Linked DNA regions of Oryctolagus cuniculus. The protein of the gene in region 1 interacts with the protein of each later gene in a pairwise test. Links are inferred from orthologs where the notes say so. Each region holds a gene or a part of one and is shown in the gene's direction. Other genes may lie near its edges.

Region 1 (3,563 bases):
AGGTGTTGATACTTAATAACAGAAACACTGTATTGCTTTTTATGTCTTTAATAACGTATATTATTAAAGCTAATAAGTTTGTTTTTATTTTTATTTGTTGGCATACAAATTTGTGGATCATCTCTGTGCCTTCATTTGAATGAATTTTGGCATTCTTCAGCCCTTTGGGTGAAGGAAGTATAGGTCTTGGCGTCGGGGATTGCTCAAGGGATTTTCAGAGAATGTAGGATAGGTGTGTGAGACCCAAGATTCTGTACTTGGTGTCTGTCTAGCCCTTTGGGAATTAGGATTGAGGATCATGGACATTATCTGTCCTTGTCTACATGGCTTAGCCTTCAGACTTCTCTCTTTTGTCTCTTTCTCTGCCTCTCTCTAACTCTGCCTTCCAAATAAATAAAGCTTAAAAAAAAATCATCTGGGAAGCTTTTTGAATACTAATTTCCTTAAGCCAATTAAATTACAGTCTCTGGGAATAAAGCTCAGAGATTAGTATTTCTTAAATACAGTCCAGATTATTTTATTTTATTTTTAAAGATTTATTTATTTATTTGAAAGAGTTACACAGAGAGAGAGAGGTGAGAGGTCTTCCATCCACTGGTTCACTGCAGTTGGCCACAACAACCCGAGCTGCGCCTATCCGGAGCCAGGAGCTTCTTCCGTGTCTCCCATATGGGTTCAGGGCCCAAGGACTTGGGCCATCTTCCACTGCTTTCCCAGGCTATAGCAGAGAGCTGGATCAGAAGTGAATTAGCTGTCACTTATATGGGATGCTGGCACTGCAGGCTGTGGCTTTACCCGGTATGCCACAGCGCTGGCTCCAGTCCAGATTATTTTAAAGTGCAACCAGATTTAAAAATCACTGCTCTTGACCTGTGATAAAGTCTGTAGTCCACAGACTTTATCAGGTGAGTCTGGTACAAACACAGGATCTCAGATCCCACCTTAGACCTCCCTTTTTTTAAGGAAACCAGAGCTGTGGCCCCAAAACCCTTCACTTTTTTTTTTTTCCCAATATTTACTTATTTATTTGAAAGGCAGAGTTACAGACAGGCAGAAGCAGTGAGAAGGAAAGAGGTCCTCCATCCGCTGGTTTACTCCCCAGATGGCAGCAGTGGCCAGAGTTGGGCTGATCAGGAGCCAGGAGCCTGCAGCTTCTTCCAGGTCTGCCACGCCAGTGCAGGGGTCCAAGGATTTGGGCCATATTCTGCGCTTTCCCAGGCCATAGCAGAGAGCTGGATCAGAAGTGGAGCAGCTGGGACTTGAATTGGCGCCCATATGAGATGTGGCACCCATATGACACTGCAAGTGGCAGCTTTAGCGTCTCCTCTACAGTGCCAACCCCACCTTAGACCCTTTCAATCTCAGCATTTTTTCAGGAACATATCCAAGTGATTTGTGTACACATTAAATTTGAAATGCACTGCTTTGAGAAGCAGTGGAGACTAAACATTAAATTTACCATTTTACTTAGGGAGTTTTAAAAAGACTAAATACTAGGTTCCCCCTAGAGAGAGATTCTGGTTTATACTTAAATATTGCTGTTTTTAAATAAGAGATTTAAATGTGTAGTTGGTTTGGTTGTTTAGCCCGCTAGTTATGATGCTGTCATTCCATATTGGAGTTCCTGAGTTCCATTCCCAGCTATGTTGCCAGACTGTGGGCTTCTGCAAATGCAGACCCTGAGAGGCAGCAGTGATAACTCAGGTAATTGGGTTCTGCCATCTACATGGGAGACCTAGATTGAATTCCTGTCTCCCTGTCTTGGCCATTGCCTGCATTTGGCAAATACACAGTGGATGTGTGATCTCCGTCTTTGCTTCTTTCTTTGCCTCTCAAAAGTGCAGTGAGTGCTGAGCTACGTCATACTAGCCCAGTTGTAGTGCTGCTTTTGCTGTCCTGGGGTTGCAATAAGACAGCAAGAAGAGAGGTTTTATGTTCCTTTGTTTTTAATTACATGAACAATAAATAACATTTTTTCTTTGTAGAAGGACTACTGTAAAACAATGTTGACGTGTTTTGATGGTTTCTCTTCATAGGCTCAAACTGTGCAGGTTGCAGAAGTTGAACCACAGTCACAGCCACAGCCTTCCCCTGAACTTCTACTTCCAAATTCTTTGAAGCCAGAAGAAGGGCTTGAAGTATGGAAAAACTGGGCCCAGACCAAGAATGCTGAGCTGGAGAAGGATGCTCAGAACAGATTGGCACCTATCGGGAGTGAGTTTTTGGGAGAGAGGGGGGTGAGCTGTGTGTAAAATAATGGTGCTATTAAAGTCACATGAGGACAGAACAGTAGGAAAGTGGTATCCTCTTGCTGTAGGGACTCGAGAACTATCTGAAAAAGTGCTGAATTTATACAGTAGCAACAAGCAGGCCTGACCCTGCCAGACAAGCAGGATTTGCGAGTGTGCCCCAGGCCAGGCATTTTTGTGCTTGTGATTTTCTGAAGTTAGCCTACCATGCCAGGACAGAGTGTCTTTTTGGAGTGAAAAGGAACCAGTGAGTAGTCTCAAAACCCATCTTTTTTTGTCATTAAGTTCATATCCTTGCACACATCACAGCGGATAGATTCTGTTTTGTCCTGCTTTTGTTTCTTGGTCCTGATAATAGCTTTTGGGATAAGTGGAGGTGAGGATTGTGGGAAGGAAACCCTTGGTGTAATAGAGCATATGTGATTACTGCCTTGGTAGGCTCGTTCTCATCTCAGATGCTGGTGATCTTTTCTGTCCCAGTACCATAATGAGCAATATCTGTTCTAAGCCCTTTCTTCAGGAATGTGAGCAACTAGCAAAAAGATCATTATTGTCAGGCCTCCTGTTCACCTCTGGGACTTATGTTACAGGGCGCCAGTTGCTGCGGTTTCAGGAAGATCTCATCTCCTCTGCTGTGGCTGAATTGAATTACGGGCTATGTTTAATGACCCGGGAAGCTAGAAACGGAGAAGGTGAACCCTATGACCCAGATGTGCTGTACTATATTTTCCTGTGTATTCAGAAGGTAGGAAACTGATCTTCACAGAAACAGGTTGGAACTGTGTTCCCATTCGGTGTTAAAATGAGCAAGTTCTCTGGTGCAGGTATTGTGGCACAGCAGGGTACACCTCTGCTTGGATGCCTGTATCCCATTGTGCAACGCCTGGTTCACATCCTCGCTCTTCTGCTTCTAGCTTAGCTTCCTGTTCATGTACCTGGGAAAACAGCAGATGATGGCCCAAGTGCTTGAATCCCTGCCACCCACTTGGGAGGCCCAGATTGCGTTCCTGGCTTTGGCCTGGCCCAGCCCTGGCTCTCCCTCTCCCTCTTTTTCCCCTCCTCCTCTTTGCCCCTCTTTCTTCTTCCCCCTCTACACCTCCCCCCATTAAATAAATAAACAAATAAATCTTTAAAAAAATAAAAGGTAGTTCTCATTTATTTATTTATTTATTTATTTTTTCCTTTTTTTAAATACAAATTCTTGGACCCCTAAACAGAATAACTGAATCAGAAACTGGGGGCTTTGCCAGGTACCTGGCTTTTTTTTTTCTTTTCCTTTTTTTAAGAAATTATTTATTTATTTATTTGAAAGGC
Region 2 (3,563 bases), on another chromosome or scaffold:
CGGGAGGCCAGTAAAAGGTTTTAAGCTCTTGAATTGATGCATTCAGATTGTCATACTGACAGTACTAAGGCAAATGGATTCAAGGGAATTAAGACCGGAGTTGCAAGACCAGCCAAAAACCTTTTCGGTAGTTTAGGTGAAAGGTGAATGTGGCTGTTAGCTTCTGAAATGAAGAAGAAAGAGTCCATGGGAAACATGATGAGAATATCCATGGTACTTACCATTCAGAGACGGGTTGGGAGAAGGTGGCAAAGGAGTGGTTGAGGATAGCACCTGAGGTTCTCTTCTGGGCACCTGGCTGTTGGCTGAGGTGGAAGACGCTGGGGAAAGCAAGCTTTGGGGGAAGGTGGTGAGGGTCAGTGTTCGGAGCTCTGGTTGATAATGGGTGATGCCTGGGAGAGAGTCATCTTCCAGAACAGATGCCTGAGAATCGGCCTGTAAATCCAGACGGCTTTACACTTCTTGTCAGGAGTAGGAGGAGCAGGCATCCTCAAGTCTGTCCAAAAGGGCAGCACCTTGGCCCTGGGAGGGCCCTGGGAAAGCTGGCGTCGGCGAGGCTGAGGAGAAAATGTTCTGGAGAGAAAGGTGTGGCAGGTGCCGAGCGGCGCAGACTGGCAGCAGGCCCTTAGTCAGCAGCGAGCCGCTTGTCGCTGTGGAAAGTCAGTTCCGCAGGACCGGTACGCAAGAGGTAAGGAAACAGACAGTTGACCTGAAGAAGTTTGTTTATGAAGGGAGGACTGAGGCCGGTGGGTCCAGGGGAAGCAGCAAGGGAGAATGTTTTGTTGTGTTTTAAGATGGAATAGATATGACCTTGTTTTAAAATGCTACAAGAATGGGGCCGCTAGAGGAGAGTGAAGGTGTATAGGAGAGGATACAAAGTGGAGAACCAGACAGGTGCACATGTGCTTAGTGGTCACACACATGCGCACATAGCCTTGCACACGCCACGTGTAAGCACTTCCGTAATGCTCACCCTCTCCTCTGCACAGATGTGACTGCTTGGTCATCTCCCACAAATGTATTTCCTAATAGGGACCTGGCAGCTGTCACTTGTGACTTAGCCTGAGGCTGTAGATCCTTGCTAACCTGGGAAGGAACATCATAGGCACGAGTCTTCTCTTTGAGGGACTTCAGTACCAGGCAGACAATCCTGAGAGTGGTCTCAGAAGAAGATACATCTGTGTGTATTGAGGTGTTGGGGGAGGGGGAGCTGGATCTCATTTGCATTTTAAAAAAAGAAAAACAGGTAGGTGGTGGTTGGATATGAATGCGTTCATTATGATTATGTGTGCAGACAGAATACTCAAACTTACAACAGGTTGTTTCTGTGGAAAGGGTCTGTGAGAGCTGCAGGCAAACTTACAACACGAAGTAGTTGTACAAGTATACAGAATAAAAAGTGATTTTTCTTTTTTTACCATGTACATTTATTGTTTTTATGTAAAACAAGATTAATGTCCAGGAACAGGTGGTACTGTCTGCATGAAAAGTGAAAGCAGGAATGGCAGTAAAGCCTAGGCCACCCATCCAGATTCTTAAACCAAGGCAAAAAGAGAGGGTTTGCGGACTAGTCAGCCTGGTCTTCCGTTCTTGGGTAAACCATGTGGTGGTTCTCTGTGGATCTGTCACGTTGGGTATTCATTATCAGCAGAAAGCTGGGAAGATGATTGGTTGGCATTGACCTGCCTTCTCCTAGAAGAAAATGCATTGGGAGCCTTTAAGGGATTCTGTCTTTTTCCCCCTTTAGAAGAGAAATGTTTATCACTGCAACAAATGCCGGCTGCAGTTTCTCTTTGCCAAGGACAAAATTGAACACAAGCTTCAGCACCATAAAACCTTCCGTAAACCCAAGCAGCTGGAAGGTTTGAAGCCAGGCACCAAGGTACTGCTTGCCAGGGTTTCTTAGGCAGACCGGGAGTTTCGGTGTTGTGCGGCTGGTTGTGGGTGGGATCTGATTGTTCCTTCCTTTGACACTCAGGTGACCATCCGGGCTTCCCGCGGGCAGCCACGAACCGTGCCTGTGTCCTCCAGCGATACGCCTCCCAGCACGCTGCAGGAGGCGACCCCACTGACCTCCTCCACGGACCCTCTGCCTGTCTTCCTTTATCCCCCTGTCCAGCGCAACATCCAGAAGAGAGCTGTTAGGAAAATGTCAGCGCCTTCTTCTCAGTGCTGGGCGGGTGGGGCCTGTGGGCATGCCTAGTGCTGGGAGCAGTGCGGTCATGTAGCCTGTCAGCAAGGTCTGCTTAATAAGCGACAACTTGGGGATCCCTGAGGGAATAATGAGAATTTTCTTTTCTTTTCTTTCTTTTTTTCTTTTTGCAGGAGCGTCATGGGCCGGCAGACTTGTCTGGAGTGCAGTTTTGAGATCCCAGATTTCCCCAATCATTTCCCTACTTACGTACACTGCTCTCTGTGTCGCTACAGCACCTGCTGCTCCCGAGCATACGCTAACCACATGATCAAGTAAGTTGGGATTAAGCCGGCGTTTCTCTTCGGGAGTTCAGATTCTATAGAACTGACTTCATTCCCTCTCCTCCTAGCCTGTTTTCCTCCTTCAACTTTTGTAGCTGTTTGTCCATCTCTCCTGGCATGGTGAGAGGTCGGGTCCCTCTGTGTGCACCAGGGACCAGCAGTGTTAGCTGGGAGCTTGTTGGGAACACAGTCTGAACCCGACCATAGGCCTGTCGAGTCTAAGAGTGTGCGTTTGACTAGATCCTTGGGTAATTCATGTGCAGACTGAAGTTGCAGAAGCATGGTACAAAGGAAAGCTGGCCTGGGGAGAGAGGGGCTGAGGAGGTGTTGTCTCTTGTGTAAGGCGTTGCCTCTGGCTGGTGATGTCAAGTCAGCCAGCGAACCCCATAACTCAGACCACTTCTTTATCTTCCTCAGCAATCATGTTCCACGGAAGAGCCCCAAATACTTGGCTTTGTTTAAAAATTCCATGAGGTAAGTAAAAACTTACCTGTATGCTTAATTTTTCAAGTTTTTACATTAAATCCCTTCATTATTTTGGTGCATGGCTACGTGACTTAATTAGAGAGGAGAAAGTTTCGCTTTGGACACGCCATTGTGTCTGTCTCACTGTGCTCTTGACTCTTCCTCAGTGGAATCAAGCTGGCCTGCACTGCTTGTACCTTTGTTACCTCCGTGGGAGATGCCATGGCCAAGCATTTGGTGTTCAACCCCTCTCACAGATCCAGCAGCATCCTGCCGCGGGGTGAGTCCGGGGCTGAGGTCAGTCAGGAGAGGGGAACAAGAGACAGGCCATCAGCAGCTGGGCGTCAGGCCCCGCTCCCGGCCTGTGGACGCGGTGCGCTGATGAGAAGCGGTCTCTAACCTCAGGTGTTTGACACGAGCCTGGGAAGGGTGGTCACTGGAGAGCATGTTGTGTGCGTTGGTGGCCCAGAGCACTCGTCTGTGGAGGGCTCCTCTCCTCACTGAGCTAACGTTTCCCTGTCTCCTTCTCCGTAGGACTCACTTGGCTCTCTCACTCAAGGTAACAAGCTCTCACTTCATGATTTCCCATTTGGCAGTGTGTTTACATTATTACCACCGCTACC
Region 3 (3,563 bases), on another chromosome or scaffold:
GAGGCAGAGAGCTCTGCTGGCAGTGGGCGGGAGGGGGTACCAGAGGAGGGGACAGCAGGCGGCCGCCCCTCCTGGCTCTGGGCTGGCACCGGCAGCGGGCTCCACTGCTCCCTCCCTTCCTCCCTCCCTCCCTCCCTCCCTTCCTCCCTCCGGGGCCTCCACGGCTGCTGGGGCCTGAGGCTCTCTGGCTGCAGAGTCTTCCCCGTTCACCTCCTTCTCTCCCGCCCCCCCCCACTCACTTTTTACTTGGATGTTTTGGGGCCAAGTCAGAGTTTGAGGCAAGTTGGGGAAACAGCTTCTCACCTCCACTGTGTCCCTCCCCACCCCCCAGTCTAGGGCAGGGGGCCCAGGTGGGCAAGAGGAGTGCAGGCCCAGGTCCAGGTCCCCAAAGCAGGCAGGTGTGTCTGGGGCCCGGGGCTGGGGGGAGCCCTCAGGCCTGGGGGGGCAGGCGGACGCGGTGCGGGCACAGGGCTACAGTCGGGGGGTGGTTTCCACAGTAACCAGTGACTTTAGCTGATCTCTCCAGCGCCAGATGGAGAGAGAACAATAGAATGAGGGAAGAAAAGAGAATTTTAGCAATTTTGTCTTTCCCTGGGTAGCGCTTTTTTACTTAGTTTTAATCAGGAGGCGGGGAGGAAGGGGTGAGCAAAAAAAAAAAGGCAGCTCCAGGCTTGGCAGCAGATCCCATTCCCGGGACCCGAGGCGGGTGCCGGGGAGCCCCCTTGAAGCTGCCTTTGTCCCTGGGGTCTTCCTCTCCTGGGGGGGGCCAGCCCGCCCCCCCTCTACAAGCTGGCGCAGTCCCCACGCCCGGCAGCTCAGAGGACCCTGAAGGGGCAGGCTTGGGGCCCTGCCATGATTTGTCCTGGTCACAGCCAAAGCCATAGCCTCCCCCCACACCTGTGGGAGCCATGGTGCAAGGCTCCCCTGTAGTCTCCCCTAAGGTAGCAAGTCACAGAAAACCCCAAGGCCCGATTTTGGGGGAGGGCGGGGGCGCCTCACCCAGGCTGGCTCCTGGCCTGGCCATGCCCCCCAAGTAGATCCAGCCGCCCCGGCCCTTTCCCCCTGTTCTGTGAAGCCTTGGGCCTGGCTCTCCGGCTGCCCTTTGTCAGTGGCTGAGGTTGGGTCCCGTGGCAGGTGCTGGAGGGGACCGCACAAAGCGAGGGCAGGTCTGGCGGGTGGTCCTTGTCCCGTTGTGGGGTAGGCCATAGAGCTTTTTTCTGTGGCAGTTCCAGATCCCCCACCACCACCGCGGTCCAGAGTGGCGGCCACCTGCCACACCCGACCAAATTTAAGTCAAACTGACAACAGAAAAATGGAGTCCGCCCGTCACCCTACTCGGCTTCCAGGGTCTTGGAAGCCACTGGGGGACTAGCAGCAGCCCTGGACAGACAGACAGACAGACAGAGCGCGTGGCCACCATTGCAGCAAAGTCCCCAGGGATCCAGGCCCCTGCCCATTCTCCAACTCAGCACCCCCGCCACACAGCGGGGCCAGAGTGGGGCAGGTCCCGCCTGCAGACATAAACTGATGGACAGTGTTTTTAAGATGGGAAATTTTCCGGTTTCTCAGGACACTGTGTGGCTGTAGCCACCTCAGGCCCCACCCCAGCGCCAACAGCCCTGGTGGCAGCCCTGGGTCGCCCCCAGGCACAGCCTCCGGCCTCGGTTAGCAGCTGTGGATTCCTCACTGTCAGCTTGAGCTTGAGTTCTGCTTCTGTCCTGGGAGGGCTGTGTGGCCTCTGGCAGGTCACCCACCCTCTCAGAGCCTGGTTTCTGTGTGGCCTGGGGGCAAGGGAGGAATGAGTCAGTACCTGCGGCATGCTATATGGAAGTCAGCCTCCAACTCAGGGCCAGGGAGAGGTCTCCATTGCGTCCTCAGGGGCAGCGCTAGGTGCACCTGCTTGGAGAAGCCACCCCCCCACACACCCTTTGGCCACAAGGTGGGGCAGGAGCCAAACAGCCCAGCCCCTCTCCCTCTGCCCTGGGTATGCGCTCCCAGACAAAGCCCTGTCTGTGGGAAGGTGGTGCCCCCTGCTGGCGTTCTGGGAGAAGACAGAGACACACACCCCGGGGAACCTGCGGTTCTTCCCCGGCGTCTGGTGCGCCTAGGGTAGATTGCAGGAGGTGGGCTCCGGCCCCTCCCCCAAGCCTGGCGCTGCTAGGGACTGAAGCCATGTGGTTGCCCCCTCCACCTCCCCATCCTCCCCCCCCCCGTCTTTCAGCCTGTGGGACTTTGGCGGGGTGCACAGACGGGAATTTCTGCCTTTAATCCAAAGAGACAGAAAGAAAACGTAGCAAGAAGCTAGGCCAGCCCCCCCCCACCCCGCCACTCCCTAAACGCTTCTGGGTACAAAGGCCCCAGCCTAGCATTCTCCCCACCCTCCAGGACCCGCACAAAAACCCAAACAGTCGGAGACACGGCCAGGGCCCAGGGCTGTGCCAGCGACAGCCACGGGGGTCCCACCCGCTGGGCACAGTGCCCACGGGAAGGCCAGCTGGACCCTAACACGGGGAGGGTGGGCAGGGTCGGGAGAATTCCCATAGGAGGGGGGTGCGCTTCCTCCTCCTGGAGCGCCCTGGACCTTGAGGGGGCCGGCGGGAGTGGGTGGAGCCTGCCTGGGCTGTTCTCAATATTGCCTTTTTTTTTTCCCCTTCCTTTTGATCTCGTTGTAGTCCTGGTTCCTCTGATAAGATCGATTTAAAAAAAAAAAAAGAAACAACAAAATGAAGAGGTTCCTCAAAAGGGGGGGAGAAGAAATTTTGAGACATGGAAAAAAAAAATCCCCCACAGCCCAGCCCAGCCCAGCCCCACCGAAAAGCAAAAATTAAAGAGTCGTCAGCCACTCAGCCCTTCTCTCCTCCAGCCCGGGGACGCCCGCGGGCCCCAGAAGCAGCCCCAGTCCTCGGAGAGCCCTCGGAAGGATCTCGGCGGAGCTGTGCACCAACAGCCGAGCAGAGAGAAACACGCGAACGGGACTCTGCCCGCAGCGGACAGGAAGCGAGGATGCGGCGGCACTGCCTCCCCGCCCCCGCCCCGGCCCTCCGGGGACGGAGCCCAATCCCCCAGCCCCAACAAAGCAACCAGCACACAGTTCTGCAGGGGCCCGGCCCCCGCCCCCGCCCTTCCTAGGGGGACCCCTCCCCAGCACACGCCCTCTGCTCGGCCGGAGCTCCCCCAAGGAGTCCGGAGGACCAGCTCCTAAGGATGATGGGGTGTAGACCCGTGGGCTCGCCCCCCGACCCCAACTCCCCAGACTCCGCCCCTCCAACCCCACCCCTTTCCCGGCCTGGGCTCCGGCCCTTTCTTGACACCAGGTGCTGATCCAGGCTGGGAGGCGCCCGGGTGGGCAAGGGCGCCCCCTGGAGCTGGCTATATGAGCCCAGAGGCGAGGGGTGGTCCTGCCACCCCGCTCTGAGCCCAAGGGCGGTTCCCGGGGCTCTCCGTAGAGTCCATGGGAGAAAGAATGTTCTCCACGGCCCGGCCCAGCCTGGGACAGCCCCCCCCCCCCACCTCCGCTGCCACGAGCGAGGAGGGGGAGTCGGGCCCCGGGTCGCCTCCCACCC
Region 4 (4,090 bases), on another chromosome or scaffold:
AGGGGCTGGGTCAGCAGGACAAGCAGCCGAGTCCCTTAGCCCAACCCAGAAATGTAACAAGAGCCCCAGGAGCAGACACCGGGAAGCAGGGGAGGATCACGGGGCGGGAGCTCCATCTGGGTCTCCCATGTGGGTGCAGGGACCCAAACACTTGGGCCATCTTCCACTGCTTTCCCAGGTGCATTGGCAAGGAGCTGAATAAGGAATGGAGAAGCTGGGACTCCAACCAGTGCTCACGTGGGATGCTAAGCAGCTTCACAGGCCGTGGCTTAACCCACTGTGCCACAACACCCACCTCCCTGCGGCCTCGACATGGGGAGGGGGGTTAGGTCATCCGGTTCCCTTCCCGCTCCCTGGCCAGGCTTCCGTCTTATCTGTTCTCCTCGTTCCAGCTGTGCCTTGTTCTAGGCAGAGGGGCTTTCTGGAAGCTTCCATTGGGGCTTGCAGAAGGGAGGGGGAGGGGAAGCAGTATTTCCAGAAGACCCACCCTTCCATAAACACAGCCCTGACCCTGAACACACACTCACACTCCCACTGCTCCCACCCGAATCCACTCCCAGCCTTGCTCTATGCCAAGCCACTCCCACCCAGACCCCCCCCACTCAGAAACCGCACCCCAGTCTCGCCCAGGTCCCTGGTAGGGCTGATGACTCCCAATTCTCCCCATAACTGGCTTCAAAGTCAGCTGGCCCTGCCCAGCTGTAATTACAGAGAGAGCCGAGGCAGTGACGTCAGCCTGAAGCTGCTAGGCTGATGAGCTCACCCCGTATCAAGTGGGGGCCCAGTCACTCGGAGCGCTGCCCGCCGGCCTGGGGCTTGCCTCCCCTTCTTGTTGCGGGAGGAGGCTGGGGGTCTCCATTAGGATCCGGCAGCTCAGCGACAGAGCTGGGAGTCAGGGCGACCCAAGTCCCACTGGCCCAGGTCCTGCAGCCCCACAGCCAAGGGTAAGAGGCAAGGGTCTGCAGGGGGCATGGACCACAAGGAAGCAGGAGGGAGGGTCTGACGCAGACTCCGCAGACCCGCCCCACACCTCGCTCCCCTCAGCGGCGGGGCCAGGGAGGCAGTAAACCACGGTGATGGGTCTATGGATTGTTATTTTTAGCAAACTGCCTAAGCAGACACCGCTTAACATCCAACCGTTTCTCGACCTGTGACTCACTGAGTTTCTGAACACCCCCACCCCACGAAGAAGGCAGAGGAAAAGACCTCTGCCACCTGTTGGGGACCGATCAAAGAGGAAGAGGAACCTAAGCCCAGGGGGTTTTGTTGTTGTTTTTAAGCCCAAGGATTTTTTTTTTTTTTTTTTGACAGAGTGGACAGTGAGAGAGAGAGAGACAGAAAGAAAGGTCTTCCTTTTGCCTTTGGTTCACCCACCAATGGCCGCTGCAGCCGGCGCACCGCGCTGATCCGAAGCCAGGAGCCAGGTGCTTCTCCTGGTCTCCCATGGGGTGCAGGGCCCAAGCACTTGGGCCATCCTCCACTGCACTCCCTGGCCACAGCAGAGAGCTGGTTTGGAAGAGGGGCAACTGGGACAGAATCCGGCGCCTCGACCGGGACTAGAACCTGGTGTGCCGGCGCCGCAAGGCAGAGGATTAGCCTAGTGAGCCACGGCGCCGGCCTCCAAGGAAGGTTTGTAAATTGGTTCTTCCAGCCGCACAGGAGCCGCGGAGAAGCCTGGAAAATGCAATTCTTCCTGGGCTCAGGGCAGACGTCCTGCCTGGGCACAGAACTTTGCAATAATTGTGCAATCCTAAGGGACACTGTCATTCGATAACACGGCCTGCGGCACTTTCCTTGCCTTACAAAATGTGGGCGGAGAATCCATTGAGTTAGTATTTGCGAAGTACCTGGGACGGGGGCCGGCACAGAGCAAGCGTTGGCGTCACTGGTAACAAAACTGGAAGAACGAAAGTGCCGATGGGTGTCCTAAACGCTGGGCGAGAATCACCTGCCCCAGCCGCTCCTCGGACACATCCAGGAGCAGGCTGCTCTCGCGCCCACTTTACAGGTGGGAAAGCAGCCGGCTCACAGGTGCCGAGGGGCACGCTAATGCTTTAGACTTCAATTGCCAGGCTCATGGCTTGGCCAACCCGTAGCCACGTTCCTGAGCCTTCTTTTGGGTGCATCTGCGCAGTTTTTCGTAAAATCCGATTTCAGCAAAGAACCGCCTAAGTCAGTTAAGCAACAAGACCCACCCTTGACACCCAACCCTTTCTCCAGCCCCACCCCACCCCCTAGGTGGGATCTGATCCCAGCCTGGCCTGACTCTAAGCCAGAATCTCTCGTCCGGTTGGTTTAGCCAGAATCCCTTGGACTTAGAAGTTCCTCCCGGCAGTGTTCCACCCCCTGGCCCTCTCCTTGATCCTCCCTCTGGGATTCCGGTGTTTCCGGGGCCCTGCAATCTTTCTCCTCCACTGCACAGCATGCGGCCCCTGCACCTACCGCCAGAGCCGCCCCCCCCATAAAGTCCTCCCCACTGGAGTGCCGCTGGAATCCTAGTCTACGTAGAGATTTACACAGCTTTGTTTTGTTTTTCTTTCCCTTTGCCACTCTATTCCAAAGACAACCCAGAGCCATCCGCCTCCAAGCCCACCGGTTATCCGGCCTCCCTCTCTCCTCCCCTTCTGCAGGTGCCGACGGGGACGCCTGCAGCCACAGGCTCGGGGAAGGTATTTCCAGAGGGTGACCTGAACCCTCAGCAGGGCAGAGGGTTATTAATAGCCAGGCGGCTGAGCCCTGCCGGGGCGGGGCGGGGGAGGCAGCGGGAGGGCGGAGCCGAGCGCCGCGCCTGGGAGGAGAGAACATCCGGAGAGGCCCCTCCCAGCCTCCCCCAGCCTCCCCCGGGCCGGTGCGGAGCCCAGCTGTCCCCTAGGCGGATTCTCTGGGGCTGCTTCATCACCTCCGAATACTCCGGTGACAGGAGGCGCCTGCGGCTCCACCCCCAACCCCCAGCAGCGAATAAATAGCAGGCTCCCAGCCCAGAAGCCAGGAGAAGTTTCTAGGCGTGTGTTCCCCAGTTTATTAAGCCCCTGGCTCCACTCTCGAGCTCGGTGGTTCTGGCTGCGCGCCTGGGCAGCTTCGGGAGGACCGTGGCTTGCTGATCTCCGGGTCCCTGGTAGGGGGAATTCCACTGGGCTCAGCCAGGGAGCACCTTTCGGGGCTGGGACCCCAGCCTGGTGTGCACGAGCCGCCGTGGCCGTGGATGGTCCTGCTTCTCCCTGACTGAAGACTGGCATTTTCCTGAAGCTGAAGATAAGCCGGGAAGCCCAGCTCAGCTGCGTGACCTTGGGCAGGTGGTGCCTTCACCCTGAGCCTCGGTTTCCCCTCTGAGCTCAGTAGCCGCCATGGCTGACGGGCAGATGCCGTTCTCCTGCCACTACCCGAGCCGCCTGCGCCGAGACCCCTTCCGGGACTCGTCCCTGTCCTCCCGCCTGCTGGACGATGGCTTTGGCATGGACCCCTTCGCCGACGACCTCACCGCCTCGTGGCCGGACTGGGCGCTGCCTCGGCTCTCGTCCCCGTGGCCCGGGACCCTGAGGTCGGGCATAGTGCCCCGGGGGCCCAACGCTGCGGCCAGGTTTGGGGTGCCCGCCGAGGGCAGGAGCCCTCCACCATTCCCCGGGGAACCCTGGAAAGTGTGTGTCAATGTGCACAGCTTCAAGCCCGAGGAGCTGATGGTGAAAACCAAGGACGGCTACGTGGAGGTGTCCGGTGAGTTGGGGCTGGGGGCTTGGGGAAGCTGCGCTCGGGGCCTGTGTTTATGGAAAGTGCTCCTATCCCAGCTCCCAGGAGGACGCTCACCCTGCCCCCGCTGCCAGGGCCCAGGCCAGGGACACAGAAAGCCGCCTGGATGTTTCAACAGAGACAGTTGAATGCAGAGGCCAGGCTAGGCCGACAGAGCAGGGAGACACGGGCCCCTCACCCTGTCCTCTCGTGGGATGGGCTGGGCCGTGACACCACGGGCGGCCTCCCACGCCTGGGATGAAAGAGCCAGGCCTGGATTTCCAAAGCTTTTTCCGCAGAGTAAGCGTGTCCTTTAACTCCATTTCGCCACAAACGTGTTGATGTCGCCTTGCGTCTATAACTGGCA

What was found.
Region 2: the proteins of QRICH1 (region 1) and POGZ interact in binary tests that used the Homo sapiens proteins (3 or more experiments, as listed by UniProt). The two-hybrid records come from large-scale screens. The link is inferred for Oryctolagus cuniculus from reciprocal best matches to the Homo sapiens genes QRICH1 and POGZ.
Region 3: the proteins of QRICH1 (region 1) and NFIX interact in binary tests that used the Homo sapiens proteins (3 or more experiments, as listed by UniProt). The two-hybrid records come from large-scale screens. The link is inferred for Oryctolagus cuniculus from reciprocal best matches to the Homo sapiens genes QRICH1 and NFIX.
Region 4: the proteins of QRICH1 (region 1) and HSPB8 interact in binary tests that used the Homo sapiens proteins (3 or more experiments, as listed by UniProt). The two-hybrid records come from large-scale screens. The link is inferred for Oryctolagus cuniculus from reciprocal best matches to the Homo sapiens genes QRICH1 and HSPB8.

Annotation. Positions count from the first base shown.
Region 1 is NC_091441.1:100,112,900-100,116,462, forward strand, and holds part of QRICH1 (transcriptional regulator QRICH1), read left to right. Parts: intron 1-2,036; coding exon 2,037-2,214; intron 2,215-2,839; coding exon 2,840-2,994; intron 2,995-3,563. UniProt on the Homo sapiens protein: Transcriptional regulator that acts as a mediator of the integrated stress response (ISR) through transcriptional control of protein homeostasis under conditions of ER stress.
Region 2 is NC_091438.1:46,681,018-46,684,580, forward strand, and holds part of POGZ (pogo transposable element with ZNF domain), read left to right. Parts: intron 1-1,747; coding exon 1,748-1,882; intron 1,883-1,978; coding exon 1,979-2,151; intron 2,152-2,325; coding exon 2,326-2,466; intron 2,467-2,892; coding exon 2,893-2,949; intron 2,950-3,107; coding exon 3,108-3,220; intron 3,221-3,474; coding exon 3,475-3,499; intron 3,500-3,563. UniProt on the Homo sapiens protein: Plays a role in mitotic cell cycle progression and is involved in kinetochore assembly and mitotic sister chromatid cohesion.
Region 3 is NC_091447.1:62,511,857-62,515,419, forward strand, and holds part of NFIX (nuclear factor 1 X-type), read left to right. Parts: intron 1-2,587; exon of another isoform or gene 2,588-2,672; coding exon of another isoform or gene 2,673-2,687; exon of another isoform or gene 2,688-2,863; coding exon 2,864-3,202; 3' UTR 3,203-3,563.
Region 4 is NC_091452.1:15,305,216-15,309,305, forward strand, and holds the start of HSPB8 (heat shock protein beta-8), read left to right. Parts: upstream 1-1,289; 5' UTR 1,290-3,344; coding exon 3,345-3,711; intron 3,712-4,090. UniProt on the Homo sapiens protein: Involved in the chaperone-assisted selective autophagy (CASA), a crucial process for protein quality control, particularly in mechanical strained cells and tissues such as muscle. Displays temperature-dependent chaperone activity.